Drosophila melanogaster: one gene and its partners. The protein of the gene in region 3 interacts with the protein of the main gene of each other region in a pairwise test. Each region holds a gene or a part of one and is shown on either strand. Other genes may lie near its edges.

Region 1 (6,579 bases), on a different chromosome or scaffold from region 3:
CGGGGTTTTGTCAACATCTGCGGTGCGTCTGCCGGCGGAGCACGTTTCTTACTCATCGCGGGTCACGCTCTCCACGAAGAATGTTCCGGAACCAACCCGGGGGAGGGCGATCTTATTTTAATTGGATTAACAAAAAAACTCATTGAATCCAAGGAGCTACAAGATCCTGTGGACAAGCCTATGCGAAGTGAGGTTATGACTACAACTCGGCTTTTATATGCTTTCAGTTATGGCCGCTCTGTCCATATCGAACATCGTGAAAAGCTCCTTGGGACCCGTGGGTCTGGACAAGATGCTGGTGGACGACATCGGCGATGTCACAGTGACCAACGATGGAGCCACCATTCTGCGACTGCTGGAGGTGGAGCACCCGGCAGCCAAGTGAGTTGTTGATGTGGGAAATCTTTCAAAGAAGTACTCATTTCTAAATTTTAAGGGTCCTGGTTGAGCTGGCTCAGCTGCAGGACGAGGAGGTCGGCGATGGCACTACCTCGGTGGTTATCCTGGCCGCTGAGCTGCTGAAAAACGCCGACGAGCTGGTCAAGCAGAAGATTCATCCTACCTCCATAATCTCCGGCTACCGCATTGCCTGCAAGGAGGCCTGCAAGTACATCTCGGAGCATCTGACCGCTCCCGTTGATGAGCTGGGCCGCGATTCCCTGATTAACATTGCCAAGACCTCGATGAGCTCCAAGATCATTGGTGCTGACGCAGAGTTCTTCTCAGCCATGGTTGTGGACGCTGCCCAGTCGGTGAAAATCACAGATCCCCGTGGGCAGGCAGCCTATTCGATTAAAGCCATCAATGTCCTGAAGGCCCATGGCAAGTCTGCCAGGGAATCGGTGCTGATTCCCGGCTATGCCTTGAACTGCACAATTGCCTCCCAGCAGATGCCCAAGAAGATTGTGAACGCCAAGATTGCCTGCCTAGACTTCTCGCTGCAGAAGACCAAGATGAAGATGGGTGTCCAGGTCTTGATCAATGATCCCGACAAGCTGGAGGCTATTCGTGCCCGTGAGCTGGACATTACCAAGGAGCGCATCAACATGATCCTCGGAACCGGTGTCAATGTAGTACTGGTTAGCGGCGGCGTTGATGATTTGTGCATGAAGTACTTCGTTGAGGCTGGAGCCATGGCTGTGCGTCGTGTGAAGAAGAGCGATCTGAAGATCATTGCTAAGGCTACCGGCGCCGCCTTTATTACCTCGCTGACCAACATGGACGGTGAGGAGAGCTTCGATGCCTCAATGGTGGGAGAGGCCGCAGAGGTGGCCCAGGAGCGCATCTGCGATGATGAACTTATCCTCATCAAGGGCACTAAGGCACGGTAAGTGCAGATTATATCATGCAGTAACATAGTTTGCTTTATCGTATCCCTATGCCTTTTTAGTGCTGCCGCATCCATTATCTTGCGTGGTCCCAATGACTTCTACTGTGATGAGATGGAGCGCTCCGTCCACGACGCTCTGTGCGTGGTGAAGCGTGTGCTGGAGAGCAAGAAGGTTGTAGCCGGCGGCGGCTGTGTGGAGGCTGCTTTGTCGATCTACCTGGAGAACTTTGCCACCTCGCTGGCTTCCCGCGAACAGCTGGCCATTGCCGAATTCGCAAAGTCGCTGCTGGTCATTCCCAAGACTCTGTCCGTGAACGCGGCCAAGGATGCCACTGATCTAGTGGCCAAGCTCCGCTCCTACCACAACTCCAGCCAGACGAAGCCCGAGCGTTCGGATCTTAAGTGGACCGGTCTGGATCTGATCGAGGGAGTGGTAAGGGACAACAAGAAGGCTGGAGTTTTGGAGCCCGCCATGTCCAAGATCAAGTCGCTGAAGTTCGCCACGGAGGCCGCCATTACCATTTTGCGTATTGACGACATGATCAAGCTGAATCCGGAGGACAAGAGCGGCAAGAGTTACGCCGATGCATGCGCTGCCGGCGAGCTGGACGGTTAGACATTCTTCACCGCGAGCGAAGCACATTTCTTCTATCTTGTTTAGGCATTTAATTTTAATCAAATCACTCACTTTCAATTGTCGCCCCATTGATTGTAACAACAATTTAATTGTGTTGCCCTTCGCGATCTGTATTAACACCGCACATCCGCAATCCTTTCTCATCCATGCTTCAATGTATAATAAACTGATCTTCAGAATATGCTGAGGCGTAAACTAAATTGGAGGGAAACAGTTTGTTATTTCGGGAGAGCGATCTGGCCAAGAGCAGGCAGAGAGCGATCCGGAGAGTGGGATGTCCTATAAATAGAGCGTGCATCTATTTGGTCTATTAATACAAAAAGAAAACACATCCCAAAAAGCACGGAAAACGCACATTGCTCTACGAATTTTTATCATTTAAAAAGAATTCTTCATAAAATGGCCGATCATAACGAAGATGAAGCTGTTGGCGGTGACCTAAACAACAATATAACAGCAAATGGGCAGGAGGAAGTGCGTCAGCCGGAGCAGCCGCAGAACGAACTGCTGGACATGGTTTTCACGTTGGAAAGCGAAAAACAGGCACTACTAGAGGAGTCTCGCAAACGGATCGGAGCGCTCCGCAAAGACTTTGAGGTTAGTTACTCGTCTCCACGGGCTGCACCCACTTACTGACCCTGATTGCAGGAAGCCAAGGCGGAAAATGAGCGTTTAAAGCGGAGAGTGGTCCAGTTGGAGCAGTCGCTCAAGCAGTCCGTCATGCTGGGCGGCACAGATGCTCCCAAATCACGACAAGAGCAGGAGGAGCTGCTTCTAAAGGCCAAAACCCTGCTGTTCGAGAAGACCAAGGTGAACAAACAGCAGGAGCAGCAGATATCAGTGCTTAGGACACAAGTAGACTCGATTAAGGATGTGCTGCAGGTGACCAAGGACATGTTGCAGCTAAAGACCGCCGAATGTGATCACACGCAGGCTCGTCTGGAGAAGAGCCAGCAGTGGATCAAGGCGGAGCAAGACAAGTGTGTGCTCACGGAGAAGAAACTAGCCATCTCCAAAGGAGTGTATGACAAGCTGCGTTCGGAGTACGACACCCAGTCACAGATATTCAAGGTGCCTTATAACTCGAGTCCAATGATATACTTGATATACTATTACCTTCTTTCCCTACAGGATCTTAAGTCCGCGTACGAGCAGAAGGTCAAGGTTCTCACCAAGGCTTTGGCAGAAGCCAAGAAATAGCTGAACAATTTAATAAACTACGTTAATTAAATGCACACATCTCGTTAATAAGTTTAATAATTTAATGCTTTCCGTGTCTCGTGTCTCTGTCGTTCTCCGTAGTCTAGGAGCTCTGGGTAACCGCCGGCTGCGATTGCTGCTGCGACTGCAATTTCGCTGCAGCAGCCTGCTTCATCTCCAGCACACTCATCACTGAGTTATAGAAGCGCGTCTTTTGCAGGTGGATCTTTTCGATTTTCTCGATCTGCTCCTGCACGTACTCCACGCGTCGCTTGAAGTAGTCTTTGGAGCCTTCCAGATCCTGTTTGAGAAACAGATGGCAATCAATAAATATTCTAGGTTCGATTGGAAATGTAAATCACCTTTTCAATGTAGTAGCCGGTGCCGATGTCTATGACGAACCTGTTGAGATCCTTGACCCGTCCTGGCACATACATACTGCTGGTCAGGGGCACCAGGATCTGACGGTTCTCCCAATTGGGTTGAAAGGTTCCCAGCGCCTCCTTGGATCCGGCGTACTTGGCTTGACAGCCGTGAAGCGTCGACAGCGAGTCCTGTACGTTGGTAATCTCCTAAGGATCACAAAAATGTACCGATTTTAGAAGCATGTGCCAATTGGGGCGCCCCTCCTCCAGAAACCCCCTCCGCGAGCACACTTGACTCATCACACACCCACATGCGGAACGCACCTGCTCGAACTCCTGCTTGATCTGAATCAGCTGTTCCGGACTCAACTTGGTCAGGTCGATCATCTCGGACTTGGCGGGTGCGCTTGGGGTGGCAGCCATTGCTAGTGCTTACACTTATAATTTACAATTCCACTTTTATTTTATTCAGTCGCCGTATAAGGTTGCCACCTTTGCGTATTCAACTCAACAGGGATGTCATGAAGCTGGGTCAGAAAATATCGATTTCACGGAAGCAATCGGGAATCGAATGATTCGTTGAAATAGTCGGTAGTCCAGTCCCGCCGACGATTTGTTATCGAGTACTAAGCGCGAAGTAAAAATTTAAAAAAAAAATCAGTGACTTCTGAATCTACAATATCTTTTGAGTTTAAAGACAGATCTTACTCAGCAAAAAAGCATTAACCAAACTTGTTTTTCAATTATAGTTTTATTGTATTTATTATATGCAATGTTATAATTCTGTGTTTTGTCAGTCATTCTGTATTTGTATGCGTTTTACAATTTTTGTTTTTGGTTTTCTCGTAAATTATAAAATCTAACACAAAACAAAGCAATTTCTTTAACAATCACTGCCGCTACATATACACGTTACAATTTGTTAAATATATATATATTTATATATATATAAGTAGGCACAGCTCAAGCGCCGCGCATCCAATACATGTTCATATACATATTCTCTGTTATATGTGGGGTGTTGTATGTCGGTTTTTATATATGTATAGATTAGATAACAATGATTTTAAGCCTAAGTAGAAGTAAGTTTTAGTTCCGATACTTGCGATCGTTCCCCTCTATATGCGCTCCCACTCGCAATCGCTGCTCCTCCGATCCTTGAACTATTAAGTTATATGCTTTAACTATGTTATTTTACCCATACAACTAACTGTACTCGTCCTTCGCGATCCTCCCACTATATCATACATACATAACATTTACCTTGATTTGGTTTTGATCTTAATAAAATGTAATTCGTTTTGAAACAATGAAGAAGATCTTGCTTTTGAGGGCGTGTCGATTCGATTTCTTAATCGCGGATATTTTAAGCTCCCCATCTGGATTTTGGATTCAATATCGTGTGCTCGCTGTTAAATCGCAAGGCAAATTTGTATAATTAGTTATATATAATTTGGTTTTCTCTTGAATCGAAACGAATAAACGTTAGTGGTTTACTTTAAATGCAGAGTTTTCATTGTGCAGCATTAACATTGTGAAGAGATAGAGAGAAAGTTGTCGGGAGAGAGTGTTACATTTATAAGTGGGAATGGTTTTGGTTATCAACAGCGTTAAAATTTGTGGTTTCTTTTCGTTTGGTTTCATTATCAAATCGAAGGGACGTAATTCGTAATAATAATCATTGATCGTTAAACATACTCGTACGTTATATGGTATGCATGTATGTATATTTTGTATAGATGTACATTTATAAATAGTATAGTTTGAATGTATGCGTGTATGTCCTGTATATATAGTTGTGTTTATGTACTGTACTGTACTGTATGTACTGTATGTACTGTGTTTCGCTATGTACTTGTAATTGTAATTGTCCTAGGTGTTCATTTCAGCTAGATTCGCTAGTTTGTCTCGTGTTTTCGCTTTCGCTTCCTTTTTGTATACAAGATAAGGGTTTAAAAAACTCGAAAATATATCAAAAGTTTCTTGAAATGCAGTATATATATGTTTTTTAGTTGTTAAATATATATATATATATTCATGTATATATAGTACTTTCCTAGGTATTTACAGCATACCTTGCCTTGGTTTCCATTAAGAATTCGAGAGAAGTATGTCCAGTAATTTCGCTAGTGATCGAATGCGTGAGTTGGTGATTGTGTGAGTGAGGTGAGTGTGCGTGTATTAGTAGTAGTATATCGAGTGTATATAGGTATTTTGTATATCTAATCCAAAATGATACACTAATTGGTATTGATAGTGAGACAAAAATTTTAATATAGCGCATCAAAATGATATATGCGATTATTAATATGTATACAGAATTTAATGGCGGCTTGCTGAATATCGAATTTCGCGTCTATGTATGTGTGCTTGTGTAATAGTATGTGGGTGTAAGCTGTGAGTGTGCTGGTGACTGCTGATTGTGTATACGTCACGTGGGCTTCGAAAAATACGCTTAAAGCTGCTATAATACTGTAAAATTGTTGCTTGATTTCCTCATTAGTCGACGGTAAAGTAATGTTCGCTCACATTGAATAGCAGTTGTTGTAGAAAAGCTAGGTAGGTTCGCTTCAGTGTCTTCGAATTTTGCGTGTGTGTTAGAGTGTTTCGTGTGTAAGTGTGCTAGTGTGTGTGTCTTGTCTTTTCCTTGATATGTCTGAGTTCATATTGCACGCAGATCGGTGACAATATTTAGTCTCAAATACATATAAAAAGTATATGTGTGGGGCTCGGGAGTGGAAGGGACTAACTCAAAGTAGCATCGAGTTGCTGCACGCAAACGAAAAAGTCGCATCACGTATATGTCAACCAAATCGTGGGTTTCTACTGTTTCCTCCGTATTATCGTGTTTGATTTCGTTTCGTTATCCTTTAGGTTTACCACTATCTCATTTACATTTTAACTAATTAAAGCCGGTTTCAATTCAACAAACAATCTGTAGCATAAATTCTTGCATTCCCCGTCATCATTATTATTATTATTACTATTATTGTAGTCAACCAAAGTTTGTCTCCTACGTTTACAGCACCACATTTTGTAACTTTACA
Region 2 (7,470 bases), on a different chromosome or scaffold from region 3:
TGAGCACCACATCGCCATCCTCGATCAGATTGCACAGAGCGGCCTCCATGCCCGAGTGGCCGGCGCCGCTGATGCACATGGTGGCATCGTTGAGTGTCTGAAAGATGTACTTAATGCCCTCCTTCACCTCGTCCATGATCTGCAGATATACAGAGATTAATATACAAACACCTGGCCATGCTCAGTGGGAATAGCTCAATTCATGGGGGGATCACTAATATTAGATTGCTATAAAGTATAAGAGATGTGCTGGTTTCACTCGACTGGCTAGCCCACAGATCTCTGACCCAGCTCAGCAAATGTATCTCAATGTTTCACTTCGTTCAGATAAGGTACAGTGCGGCCCATGAGTATATGGACTTGGGCTTAACTTTTCGATATAATTCGAGTATTAAGCTCAATCTTGCTAGCACTTTTGTGGTTTTAAGAAGATATTGTACCTGCAGGCATTCGGGATGCATGTGACCCAACACCGGATTGCTCATGGCCTCCAGGACGCGATGGGAACAGTTGGAGGGTCCGGGCCCCATCAACGTCTTGCTGGGCACATAGAGCGGTCGCTTGAGTACAAGTGGCGGTGGTACCTCCATGGTCTTTGTTCCCTATTTACGTAATCAGATCTCTGTGTTTACGACTGCCTTATCGCCTTCTGCTCTCTAATCCGCTGTGCCAGGTAGAATGGGTGTTACTACTGTTTGGTGATGGGAGTTGGTTTTTATGGGCTGTCTCTCTCGGTGGCTGGCCAAGATCGGACTGAAACGCTTGCCGGGCTGCTGGCCACTTTATAGCGCACCGGATCGCAGCTTATCGCCGCAATTTTCGCCGATGAACGCACTTGAACAAGTGGTAAATGATGCGCTCTCCCGCTTATCAAGGCATCAAGATCGAGAGCAACTGCGTCGTTGGCGGCACAGAACGAAATTTGGAATAAGAATAATAAGTTAAGACTGCCATTTGATGGGTCAAAAAATCATACACAGTTTTAAGACAAGATCTTTACGAAATAATATGACTTACTACTCAATTAATTTCATTGTTAATCTGAAAGAAGTACCATTTTTTGTTTGCAGTGTGCTGCTGCTGATTCTTTGAATGGCCTTGGGAAGGTTGGCGGACCAATGTCTATTGTGAAATAAGAAATCCAGCGAATTCAGCAAGACGAACCTTGACTGTGGGTACGTATACGTAATGTAGCAACTTCTTTTTCGAAGCTGGAAGCATCTGCAGAGTGCAGAGATCAAGATCTAGCATCTAGATCTTAATTCTCTCGAAATCTCAGCCCACTGACAACTAACATTTGGGTTGATAGCAGTGCCCGTATCGTCAGTTTTTCCATTAGCGATTTGGAGTGGAAAACACATCGTGACCAGGAGGTCAACCGCCAATAATACAAATGTCGTATTGAGTGGCCGAAAATATTTATTACCATTTCGCTGGTGGTGAAATTAGAATCAAAATAAAAACAAAAACATAGATTTAGGAAAGTGATAAGCAGTCAAATTAGCAGGTCGTGACTATAAAATTTAAATGTTCGTTTAAATATTGATTGATTTTTCCATATTTAAGGCACAAGCATCTTTTTAAAAACATTGTTTCGAATGTAGAAGTAAGTTCAGTTTGGTTTTAATATATTGAATTAATTATATTGAAACGAATTGAATATAGAATATATATTCTATTACAGTTGACTATATTAAACATATATATGTATAAATATGTTTATTTTATGGCCTTTTTGCTTAATATTTAGTTATAATATTTTATAATTTTCCTGAAAGCAATTCACCGGTGGAAACAAGTTTTCTTCGTTTTGGCGCTTGGTCACACTTTCTGTTTCGGTCAAAACAAACTGAACAATAGTTAATGTTTTTAAACATTTTCGATGCGACTGCATAATTAGGCATGGAAATCGGCAACGATCAGTCCTATCAGGACTTCTTCGACAAGTTGCGAAGGTGAGTCTGTTTCTGGACGGGATTGGGACACTTGGCACAGTGGTATATACATATTAAATATATATGAACTCCAGTGAATCGGGTCCTCGCAACTTGCGCCAGATCTTTGAGGACGACGATCGTCCGCTGGCGAACGAATCATCCAGCTTGCGCTATCAGCCAGGCAGCTCCAAAAAATTGCAGGCTGGCAAAAGACCGGCCATGACCAGGAGTAGCACCCAGGAGACGGGTGATTCACCGCCTGCCGCCTGGAACACGGCCATTGCCAAGGTGGTGCATGCCTATCGGAGCAGCGAGAACGTTGGACGCGTCGGCCTGGCCCTCTCGATTCTGGGCGAGATGGAGGCCAGCAAGCTGATTGTCTACCGCAGCAAGAGTCAGGTGCTGACCACGCTGCAGTTGACACCGCGTGGCGGCAAGGTGATACTGCGCGAATCCTATCTGCAGTTCTACGATGACGAGCAGCGCTTCTGGAGCCTGCGATTCGACAAGGAACCGGATGAGAAGGAATTCATAACGTTTATGGTCAAAAACAAACTGCCAGTGGAGCACTATCTCAGCGAGATCTCATCCTCCAGCTCGGCATCGCCTTCGCGTGAGGATTTATCTAAGATCCGAACTAAAGCAACGGTCACAAAGACGACGCCTAATCCGCCACAGCCGCAACCACGTTCCCGCGTAACGCTGCCAACGCTGGAGAAGGCGGACGATGAGGAACGCGAACGGGAAACAGAGACACCTTCCAATGAGGATGTGATAGTAACGCCAGTGCCGCGACCCATAGGTTCGTCAAATGCTCACAGGAAACTCAGTGCCAGTTCCCTGGCGGTGGCCAACGCTTCAACGAGCAGCGATACTCCGTTGGCTGTGACGACACTGGACAAATATCTAGACGAACAGCGTGCCTCGGGTGCGTTAATGGAGCACAAGATGGACGCCATTCTGCAGGCCATGAATCGCATGGGCGGCCAGTCGAGTGTTGCGCCCAAGAAGCCCAGTGATCCGCTGCTGGAACGCGACAGCGAGGACGAGATGCTGGAGCTGGAGCAGAAGCTGCTCAACTTGAAGCGGGAGAATCGAGCGCTAATGCGCAACCTCAAGGCACGCGAACAGGCGCTGGAGGATCTACGCTGCTCGGCGTGCGCCCTTTGCGAGGAGCTACTAGTCCAGAATGGCGAGCTCAAGTCGCAGAATGCCCAGCTGTTGTTAGCCAGCCAGCATATTTCCGATTCAAGCACAGCTGCTTCGCCTGCCCATTGCCGCAATTGCGAGTCGTCTTCCCGGCAAATAGCCAAAATGCAGCTACACATTTCCGCACTGCAGGAAGCGCTGCGAATCTTTCAGAAATCAGGCGACTCCAGCTCCAGTTCGGGTCGGTTATAGCACCTAACGTAGGCGTATTATATATGTTCGGTATTACTATCGAAAAGTGTATTAAATCATTTGTTAGGTCGCGTAACATATCCACAAATACAAGCCAGACACTATTAGCTATCTTTAAGTCATTAGATTGCCATGTTATTGGGCTCATTTACAAAGCGATTTTCTAATCTATTACAACTATTATTACTAAATGTGAGATATAAAATATGTTGCGGAAGATTATAATTAATAGCAACCCATGCTTTGCTCTCTCTCAATTATGAAAAACTCCGACTTCCTCTTGTACAAACTAATTTGTTGTATTTGCAGCACACATCGGGCTGAAATTTAAGGTATAGGGACAAGTCTACGGTTTGCGCGTCTCATAATCCGTGGGAAGAGTTCATGGAGAAGTTGTTTTGGGGCCTGGAACTGGAAGTGGAACTGGCAGTCTCTCTGTGGAAGTGAGGAGCGGAAAGGATGGGCTGGCGGTCCTGCTCCTTTACGTTTTTACGGCTAAAATGGAAAGCGAGCTAGTTTGCGGAGCGAGTGCTTTGGGAGGCAGCTGTCTATCCATCCTGATGCTGATCCAGATCCAGATACAGATCCACATCTAGATTCTCTTGCTGATCCAGTTAATCCTTGTTTGTTTCTTTTCTTTCTCAGTAGGTGCTGCTGTCGCTGAGGCTGCTCAGGTAGCTGCTGCCGGCGGTCGGAGCACCGGATCCGCCGGCACGATGTCGCTTCCGCTTCGCCTTGGTCTTCTTGCGTCGCAGCATGGCCGTGTCCGTGGACTTGCGCTTGTACTTGCCCTGCCGCTTCTTCTTGCGTCCGTACTCATCCGATTCACTGGTGCTGGACTCCTCGTTGTCGCTGGAATCCGATTCAGACGAATCGCTCGATGTGGAGGAGTCATCACTCGAATCATCGCTCGATGACGACGATGAGCTGCTGGTTGATGACGAGGAGGAGGAGGAGGACGACGACGACGACGACGAATCCGAGCTAGAGGTGGAGGATGATCGTCGTCGTTTTGACTTCTTGTTGGTGCTGCCGCTGCTCGGTCGCTTGCCTGTTTTGGTTTTGGCCAGCTCGCTGCTGCTGTTGCTGCTGCTATTGTTGGTGTTTGTGGTCTTTTTGTGCTTCCGGCTCCTCTTCTTGCCATGCTTCTTGTGCCGCACCGACTTCTTGTCCTTGCTCTTCTCGGCCAGCTTGTGGCTGCTCTTTGAGTGGCTACGCTTCTTGTCCTTGCTCCGGCTACCCTTCTCCTTCTCTTTCTCCTTCACCTTCTCTCTCTCCCGCTCCCTTTCCCGCTTCTTCGCCTTGAGCCTGTCGCGGCTCTTGTCCTTGCTCCTGTCCCGTTTGCCTGCCGCGGGAAGCACCGCTGGCTCCGTTGGCGGCGGCACCTCAGCGCCACTCTTCAGCTCCTGGGCTCTCAGTTCGGTGAGCGGCGTAAGGTAGTCCAGCTCCGAGTCTGAGCTGGTGCTCTCCACATCCAGCAGGATCTCCTTGTTGGGGTCCACCTGTTCAGGATAGCGGTTAGCGGCGGATAAAAGCAACATAAACATGCGGTCTATGCGATTGGTGCGCTTACCTTGAGAAAATTGCGGCATTGGTAGGTCAGGTGACCGGCGTAGCCGCATTTCTTGCAGGCAGCCCGCAACGTATCCTTGTTGACGCTCGCCAGTGGGAAGTTCATGGTTGCCGCTCCGCTGCCGGTCGTACCTTTGCGGCGTTTGGCGGGCTGGGGCTGGGGCTCTGGCGTTGGGCGGGCTTGTCCACTGACTGATTATTATTTCGCCTCGCGCACCATTAATTGATATGTGCACAACAACAACAACAACGATACCAACAACAATGGGGTAAAAATGAAACGCGAGTTGAAGTAAATCGCGTTTTTAGTGCGGCCATGCGGCCGCGTTTCGAACATACCATGCCGGCAGCACACCGGTCCGCTTAGCCGTGACAAGCACCGATAGGCTGCGGTATGCTAGCTGGGGTGACACTGGCACGGAAATACCGTTGCCCGAACAAGAGCTGGTCACACTGCACGCCAGCACGGCTTAGTTGTTTACCAAATTTGAAGCTCTACGGTTGATCCGCGCATGAAAGGGCGCCATAAAACAATAAATAACTTGAAGAGACGAATCCGCGAAACGTTTAACAGTTATCATAATATCCAGCCTATTGGCGTAGTTCGCTGCGCCGACTGTGTTATTAACTACGCTGTTTGTTTTTGTTTTTTGCAAGTGCTTTTGAGTGCCGAAGTTAAAAAAAAAGTCCGTGCGTAAGCCAGCGCCAGTTCAATCCGCCCGCTTGCGTGAAGGACCCAGTTTTAGCCATGGCCCAAACAGAGGCCAAAACCACGTGCACGCGGCGTCGCCGCCAGTTTTTGCCCCATGGCCAAAATAGGCAGCAGCAGCTGCAGCAGAAGCGGCAACAACAACATTGTTAGCGGTTTCCACTCAAAAATATACCGTGTGCTACATAATGCCGTTAGATATTTGTAACGGCTTAGATCGCATACCGTTAATCGTGGATTGTGGCACTAACTGAACTGGTCGTACGATTGTTGTGATTATCCTTGCTGCGGATCCCGACTATTAAAAGTGGGGATAAGCATTGGCAACAGTTGGCAATTCGTAAGCAGTCATCAGGTGAGTGGAGAGTTCATTATAAAAAAATTAAATTGAAAGTGGTATAAAATTAAAAACTATGCACACTGCAATCGTTTAAAACGAATACGGTTAATTAAAAGAAAATGATTGCATAGTTAATTTTGTGCCATTTAAGTGTCGGCAGTTAATTCATTCGAGTGTCAAATTTCGTACGGTGCGACTGTTTTATTGTCGGCCAGTGTGACCAATGTGCATTGCAATGCATTCATCGCCTAGGCGACCAAAACCTCGGCGTATTAATTACAAACAAATTAAAAATTTTGCCTCGCCCGCTGCCCACGCCTTAATTAAAGACGCCAAAGAGTAACGGTAATAACCGACAACGGGAACGACGACCGTCGGGGGTTTGCGTTATTCGTTATTCGTTATGCCTTATTGTTGTTTTTGTACTGCTGAGGATGCTGCACGTTGTTGCACTTGTTGTTGTTGCTGGCGTAATTGTGCCAGACATCGTCGCTCATTCTCGCTAACGCTCAGACTGCACACTGAAAGAAAAGCTGGAGAGTGAATGCATCTAGTGGCTGCATTTCCGTATTTAACGAGCAGTGTGACCATTGCCTGCCAAGTAGTAAGCTTTAGCTTTGCATTTTTCATTAGTATGACATAGTTGGTTAGAGATAAAAGAGGATTGGTCTAATCTTTATAAATTGAAAGCATCAGCTAAAAGTATTAATATTTCAACTCCTGCACTTAAAGCATTAAGATTACCCGTTTTCATTTTGTATTTCTTTTTTTCCAAGTGGACCCCAAGCGCCACCCCCTAAAATCACCCGCACACGCCGCACCCCGCCCCGCCCCGTGGCCACATTTTCTTCTGGGTCCCTGCCTGCTTTTGTTGGCAGGAAAAAATAATAAAAGCTAGGGGCTGAAAGGAAAGGGGGGAAGGGGAGGGATAGCGGCAGGCAGATGGAAAACTGTGTCGCTTTCGCCTGCGTGCGGTGACTGCAAAACTGTTGCCCAAAACAAATGACTAGAAACATGGTTGTGCCCCACTCTGCCACGTCCGTCCGTCTTCGCCATCGCTGATTTATGCCAGCGGCAAAATTATGAAAAATTGTTGCAGCTAAATTTAAAAGAAATCTGAAAGTAAACACAACCGAGAAACGTACACCAACGTGGCGAAAATAAATAAATTCGATAATTTATCCATAAATTCTGGACTCGCAGCATTTTCGGCGTCAACGGCGGCTATCGGCCTTGGCTACCGTTGGTGCTAGTCGTGCTAGTGGTAGTAGCAGTAGCAGTGGCAATTGTAGTTCAACCATTCCACCCATTCAGACGGCCATCCCTCTGCTTTGTAGCAATTAACATGTGCAAATTTCTGGCCACATAAATTTCCGTAAACTGTTTGTTGCTCCCAGCGCCAAATCTCTGCGTCTGTCGGGAGGAGCCATAAATTTCTGGTCGCGATGGATGGGGAGTGTCCAGGAGCACAAGATCTGCAGATATAGATGGTAAATCTTTGGAGGCAAAGG
Region 3 (6,173 bases):
ACTCTTCGCTCAGTCGCTGCATTTCCGGATCCTCGGAGTTGATCAACTGGTTCAACAGGAAGGTGACGGTGGCCGACGAGATCCACTCCATGGCATGGATGTTGCCCTCCAGGAAGATGGCCTTGTTGCCCGAACGCTTCGACAACCTAATGCTCTTGATGTCGCGACCCTCGTAGGACTGTCCAATCACCTTGCACTCCAGGAAATCGTGGGCAGCACACTCCTGATCGATCCAATCGTAAATGGTGTCCAGAGTGTGGTAGGTCTCCCATTCCATCTGGGAATCGTCGCCAACAGAGGATTCATCTATCAATCTGCGAGGATTCAAGTGTAGATTTTTGTAATGTTATAACTCATCTGAGAATCTAGTACTCACTTCTGCAGATCGTCGACAATCACTTCGTAAACAATTTCGAGGAATTTAAGGGTCTTCTCGAGGGCTCTGTGGAACAAGGGACCAACGATCACATTGTATTTGTTTCCAACAGCACCCAGTTCGTTGAGGAAGTGCACCTTTAAATTGGATCAAGTCAAGACATACATATATGATTTTCAGAAATGGAATGGAATTTGTATGTACTTACAGAGATGTGTTCGTGAATCTTCTTAAGCTCCTCCATCTGCAAGTTCGTCTCAATGGTCAGCTGATAGATACGGAAGTGGTCGTACCGGGCGGCCATGCGACCAGGTGCGGACTTGGCCGCCACCATGGCCACAAGGGTTATCAGAAGGATTGGTAGTTTCATTTCGGAGGTTTGGTGTCTTGAACGTTACAGCGTTCACTGTGAGGAGTCCCTTCACAGTCGTGCTTTTTATTAGCTCCAGGAGTGGCCACTCAAACGGAACGTTATCTAATGGCGATAGGGGATCAGTCATCTGGCGTGTGTCTCCTTTGATCTAATCGCCCATCCAACCTACCACAAAGTAGCTCTGGACTTTGTCTTTCGAACCAGACGTGTCTAAAGATGGTTGATACACAAGAAAATTTAATTAAAGTAATTATAAAAAAGATTTAAGATATTTCAACTTGGCCAAATAAACTTATCCCGAAACATGACCTAATTTTTTATGTTGTATTGTTTTCGAAAGACCAGAGTATATGCAAATAACCTAATTAAAATTTAACTAATATTATCAATTTCTTAAGTTCATGTAAAAACTTATATCGAATATCCAAGTTACCTTTACAAATACTAGTATAAATGACAATAAACTGGTATCAAATTTTTCTCGGTGAACTTCCTCTAACAAAGTCAGCGGAGTCAAATTTGTAAGTGAAATCATGCACCGAGTGTGGAGGCACTCGCCTTATCAGGCATGTTCAATTAATTAAATACTCCTCCAGGCGTCTGCACGTGAAGGAGCACTTCGAGAAGCGTTTGTAGAATGCACTGGCAAACTGAAGATCGTCATCTTCAAGTGACAGACTGGGTGGGGAAGAAAAGCCGTCAAACATTCGATTGTGAAACCATTCATTCGTTTAATTTTACTATTTAAGCAGTGCAGTTATTGCTAGTCACTGCAGAAATTAATCATGCCACTGAGCCTAATCTGTGATGTTCCTTTCCTTCCCTTTGAGTAAGCCACTTAAAATGTTGCGGTGTTATCAATTTGTTTTTAATGTTTTTCTTTTATGTAAAATTATAACTGCATTATCAAAAACTAAAATATTACGTTAGTAGAAGATTGCAAGCAAAGGTGACCCAAACAGTGAACTACACCTTTGAAAAAATATTTAACACTTGCTTTGAATAATTACGAAAAAGAACTAGTTTCTTGGGATATTATTGCTTTTTAAGCTACTCCCATAATTGTTTATAGTTCGATTATTTCAGCAAGCCTTGATAGTCAAATTAAATTATAAATTTTTAGTCATAGTGCTTTACTATAGAGGTGAAAGATTAAAAATGTATTTTGAAACTGTCATTTTTTTGAAAGTAACGTAATTATGAAATAGAGTAGCCACAAAGTTTGAATTTGTCATACTTCATACGCATACGTTCACACTGACAGAATATATCGCTTGGATTTAAGAAAAATCGTGCTAAGCGACAGTCACACTCCCCTCCGCCATATTTCTTTTCTTCGTTTCCGGTAGGTGTGTGTACTCCGCATTTTTCGACTTCAATTTAACTTTTGCCGAAATATCAGTGAATTAGCGCCTTAAATTATGTAAAATATCATAGTTAAGAGTTAGATCTACGGGGGTAGCGAATTATTGATTTTCCAATTGAACTTGAAAAATCAATACCAACTGACCCCCGCTGAGACACATCGCTGAGCCTTTGAACCGGCACCAGATGTTTTCCCTTAGCATAATTGATACTATTTGCAAAGCAATTACCTAACCTCGTGTTCTCCACTTGCTTCCCCACAGATTAAAATGCCCGAACTGACCGAAATCAAGAGCGAGGCTGCGCCCTCCACCTCCGCTGAGGCGAAACCCGAGGACGTCCGCGTTGAGGATGATGGCAGTGATAGCGACTCCGATGGTGGCATGCCTGGTCTGGAGGAGGCTGTAGCGGCCACCACACAGCTGGGTGGAGGTGCCACCGGTCTGCCCATCGACCTCGTCTCAAAGGCCAAGCAATCGCGCGGCGAGAAAAAGGCCAGGAAGATCATGCTGAAGCTGGGACTTAAGCAGATCCAGGGCGTCAACCGGGTGACGATCAGGAAGTCGAAGAACATCCTGTTCGTGATCAACAACCCAGATGTGTACAAGAACCCCCACAGCGACACCTACATCGTGTTCGGTGAGGCCAAGATCGAGGATCTGTCGCAACAGGCCCAGGTGGCTGCCGCCGAGAAGTTCAAGGCCCCGGAGGCTGCTGGCGCTGCAGACAGCGTGGGCGCCACCACATCGGTGGCCCCCATTGCCGAGGAAGACGAGGAGGATGTCGATGACACCGGCGTGGATGAGAAGGATATCGAGCTGGTCATCACGCAGGCCAACACGACGAGGGCCAAGGCGATCAAGGCTCTGAAGAACAACAACAATGACATCGTCAACGCCATCATGGAGCTTACTATGCTTTAGAGCGGGCTTCAGCGTTAGCTGCACTCCTGATTTTGTTGTTTACCCGCCTTTCGATAATACTGACCCAAATGTTGTGCATGCCCCTCAAGGGGCAGCATGTTACACCAGTCGAACATTTAATTATATTTCAAAAGATTGCGTCTTAATAAAAATGGATTTATTTCAAATCAAATACGATTGCGTGTATTTTTCGACTAGTTTCGGTTTTCCACTAGGTGGTGTGGGTGTCTTTACTTGCCTTGCTAACCGAATTCGATTAAGTATACATTGAGGTTCCAGGTTAAGTACTTTGAGATTAGGGACTGGCACATAAGGGATTCTATTCTGTATTAGCTATTAATGTTCAGGTTGCAGCCAGCTTGAGGACGCGGGCCTGACTACGCGAGGAGAGGCGAATATCCGCTGGACTCTGCATCCAGGGTTCGCCATCCGCCTGCATTGGCACGGTCTCCTTGACTTGTAGCTAAAAAAAAGATTGTTGGTTAACAAATATTCGGTTCCATCACTGCAGGGCTTACCCTTATTTGCTTGGCTTGGCCAATTCGCACTGGTTTGCTTATATTGCACTGCAGTTGGGCAATGTGGAAAGAGGAAACAATGCCGAACACCTCCATCATACCATCGGAGATGGAGTTTACAATGCGCACTTCACCATTGGCGTTGCTTAGCTCGCAGAGCTTGCAGCCAGCTCCCCATGAGTCGATATTTAGGAACACCAGCGCCTGCAGCTCAGGCAGTTGCACTGGCTTGTTGTCCAGATACAAGGTCAGCTTTTCCTCGATGTGTTCGCAGCCAGGTTGCATCACCTGTTGCGTTCCGAAGGTAAAGTACAGCAGCTGACGAGATGGATACATTAGTTAACGTTAAGTAAGCACACTAGATTGTAGCCTACCTTATTGAATATTCGACTGCTGAGCAGATAGAATCGAGATTCGCGCGTCTTGTGGAAGTTGTAAGTGATGTACGCATCCACACCTACACTGAAATAGTTGTACACATGAATCGTCTTCGTGGGATGCCTCTGAATAGGCAGTCGATAGTGCAGTTTCTCTATTTGCAGGTCAAAGCGGTCGAGATTCACGGAACGTGCTCGCCGTATGCTCCTAAGGATCTTCACCGGGTCGAGAACAGAGGGCGGCTCTGCTCCCCAGCCCAGAACTCGCGACAAATCGTTGCCGGTGCCCAGCGGCATGATGGCCACCGAGGGCTGGGGCTTGATATTCAGCGTATAGATTGTATTGAGCACCCAACCGATGGTGCCATCGCCGCCCGCCACCAGTATGCGACACGGGCGAGGACTGGCTTTGGCGGCCCACTGCAGGGCGTCCTGCGGACCCCTCGAGCCCAGTTCCATCACCTGCAGCGGATGCAGGTAACCGCGGAGCAGGGACAACACATTGGCACCCGTACTGCTGCCCGACTTGGTGTTGGCGATCACAATAAGCGGCTCCCAGTTCTCAATGTCTGGCGGCGTAATGCTGGCCAAGTGGAGCCGCATCGAGTCTCTGGTTCGGGCGGCCACAAAGCTGTATGGCGGGAAGATCATGTCCTTGAACTCGCCCAAGTCGCAGGCTTCCATGGAGTCAGCGCGAGTGTAGCAATCGTTATGATAGCACCGCTGACACCATGCACATCGCCATCCGTATAATCCTGGATCGGTGCTGACATGGTGATCCACCTCCTCGTTGCAGTCGGCACAATGCACTCCCATAGGCAGATTGCCATGCACCCACAAGTGCCGCACGGAGGACTCGTTGCGCAACCACTTGTCCTTGCACCGGTACTCCCTGTCCGCCCTCCGCTGGCAAGGGGGCGTGGCATGGGTGCACAGGCCGCAGCAGTCGCAAAAGAGTCCTGCGGAGGGGGTTAGCAGGATCTCGCACACATTGCAGAAGCAGGCCTAGAATGAAGGGCATGTATCCTATGGTATCTCTTTCGCGGCAAGTGAATCCGCTCACCTGTTCCAACACTTTTATTGATTTCCAGCTGTGACGTGTTTTGAAGGTGCTCACAAAGTCCTCGGAAAGCAGGCTGCGGCAGAAGGCAAAGAGGATACTGAGGGCCAGCAGGGATCCTATCAGCGCCTCCACGCTCAGCTCAATAGTGCCTATGTCCATGGTCCACGCAGATAAGGCCCAATTACGCTAAATATCCTGGTAATTTGGCATATTCACAAATCGTTTGTTTTTGCCCCATCGACCAGTGTGACCGCTTCAAAGACAACAAAAAACACCTTCGACCTCAATTAAAAACACTTTTCAAGAATAAGCACTAATGCGTAATTTCGATAGGCGGAGTGACACTAGTATTTAGATTCAGGACGTTTCCAACACTGCTTGTCAACTCAACCTAACAAATCAGCTGTGAGTTTGGCGTGTGGAAAAAGTTTGATTGGGAACAAATCGGACGTCTTTAACAAAAATCTAGCCAACATGAAGGTTATCTACAACACCCTGTTCAAGCGCACCTCCACCTACGCCGTGGCCATCATCGCGTCGGCCTTTTTCTTCGAGCGCGCTCTCGATGTCACGTCGGTTGCGATTTTCGAGGGCATCAACAAAGGCGTAAGTATAATCCTGTTATGTAAGCAAAGTTTCCTGGCCAAATCTCAAGATTTCCCCGCTTTGCAGAAACTCTGGAAGGACATCAAGGGCAAATACGAATAAATTAACATGATTTGTTGTAATTAGCAATAATAATCAACGTTTATTCTAAACGAAACGATAACTAAGTGTGGTTTCTTTTGGTTATTTTGATTTGGGTGCTTCCAGTGCGTCTTCCGACACCTCCCAGGGCTTCTCATGCCTCTTCTCATCCCAGGGCTGCTCGTTGGGCAGGCGAGAGGGTTCCTTGAAGGACACCCCATTATCCTGAATGGTTTGAAGCAGCTTCTGCAGCTTGCTACCCGGTACCGCCTCCACGTTGCAGGTCATTTCCGTGATCCCAGACTGCAGGCAGCGCTGTGCGAGCACTCTGCCGAGATTTACAAACGCAGATGTGTCGTTGGTCTTGTACAACTGCTGTTTAATGGCCCATTCCGAGGTGCTGGCACTCAGGATGGTTCCATTCTCAAAGTGCTTGACATCGCCGCTGACATAGCGGCCGCTGGTGTTGATTTCCAAAGTGTGCCAGTAGG

Evidence for each region. The genes of interacting proteins can lie anywhere in the genome.
Region 1: the proteins of Nacalpha (region 3) and CG5376 interact in a two-hybrid assay, tested with the Drosophila melanogaster proteins (one large-scale study listed by BioGRID).
Region 2: the proteins of Nacalpha (region 3) and CG3918 interact in a two-hybrid assay, tested with the Drosophila melanogaster proteins (one large-scale study listed by BioGRID).

What each region holds. Positions count from the first base shown.
Region 1 is NT_033777.3:22,484,670-22,491,248, reverse strand, and holds CG5376 (uncharacterized protein), read left to right. Parts: upstream 1-2,293; 5' UTR 2,294-2,366; coding exon 2,367-2,564; intron 2,565-2,615; coding exon 2,616-3,038; intron 3,039-3,098; coding exon 3,099-3,167; 3' UTR 3,168-3,216; downstream 3,217-6,579. Other genes in the region: CCT1 (chaperonin containing TCP1 subunit 1), read left to right, coding at 228-381, 437-1,327, 1,391-1,946; Pfdn5 (prefoldin 5), read right to left, coding at 3,271-3,468, 3,530-3,739, 3,857-3,955.
Region 2 is NC_004354.4:6,522,236-6,529,705, reverse strand, and holds CG3918 (uncharacterized protein), read right to left. Parts: upstream 5,243-7,470; 5' UTR 5,017-5,242; coding exon 4,912-5,016; intron 4,841-4,911; coding exon 3,980-4,840; 3' UTR 3,364-3,979; downstream 1-3,363. Other genes in the region: Agxt (Alanine-glyoxylate aminotransferase), read right to left, coding at 1-139, 441-590; CG3342 (uncharacterized protein), read left to right, coding at 1,903-1,955, 2,030-3,338.
Region 3 is NT_033778.4:12,756,726-12,762,898, reverse strand, and holds Nacalpha (nascent polypeptide associated complex protein alpha subunit), read left to right. Parts: upstream 1-1,899; 5' UTR 1,900-2,094; exon of another isoform or gene 2,095-2,098; intron 2,099-2,106; exon of another isoform or gene 2,107-2,172; intron 2,173-2,374; exon of another isoform or gene 2,375-2,377; 5' UTR 2,378-2,383; coding exon 2,384-3,037; 3' UTR 3,038-3,206; downstream 3,207-6,173. Other genes in the region: CG12374 (uncharacterized protein), read right to left, coding at 1-314, 377-513, 585-746; Dgkepsilon (diacyl glycerol kinase epsilon), read right to left, coding at 3,381-3,500, 3,556-3,873, 3,930-4,937, 4,996-5,154; ox (oxen), read left to right, coding at 5,470-5,601, 5,668-5,703; mRpL18 (mitochondrial ribosomal protein L18), read right to left, coding at 5,785-6,173. UniProt on the Drosophila melanogaster protein: May promote appropriate targeting of ribosome-nascent polypeptide complexes. Required for correct localization of the osk/oskar protein to the posterior pole during embryonic development.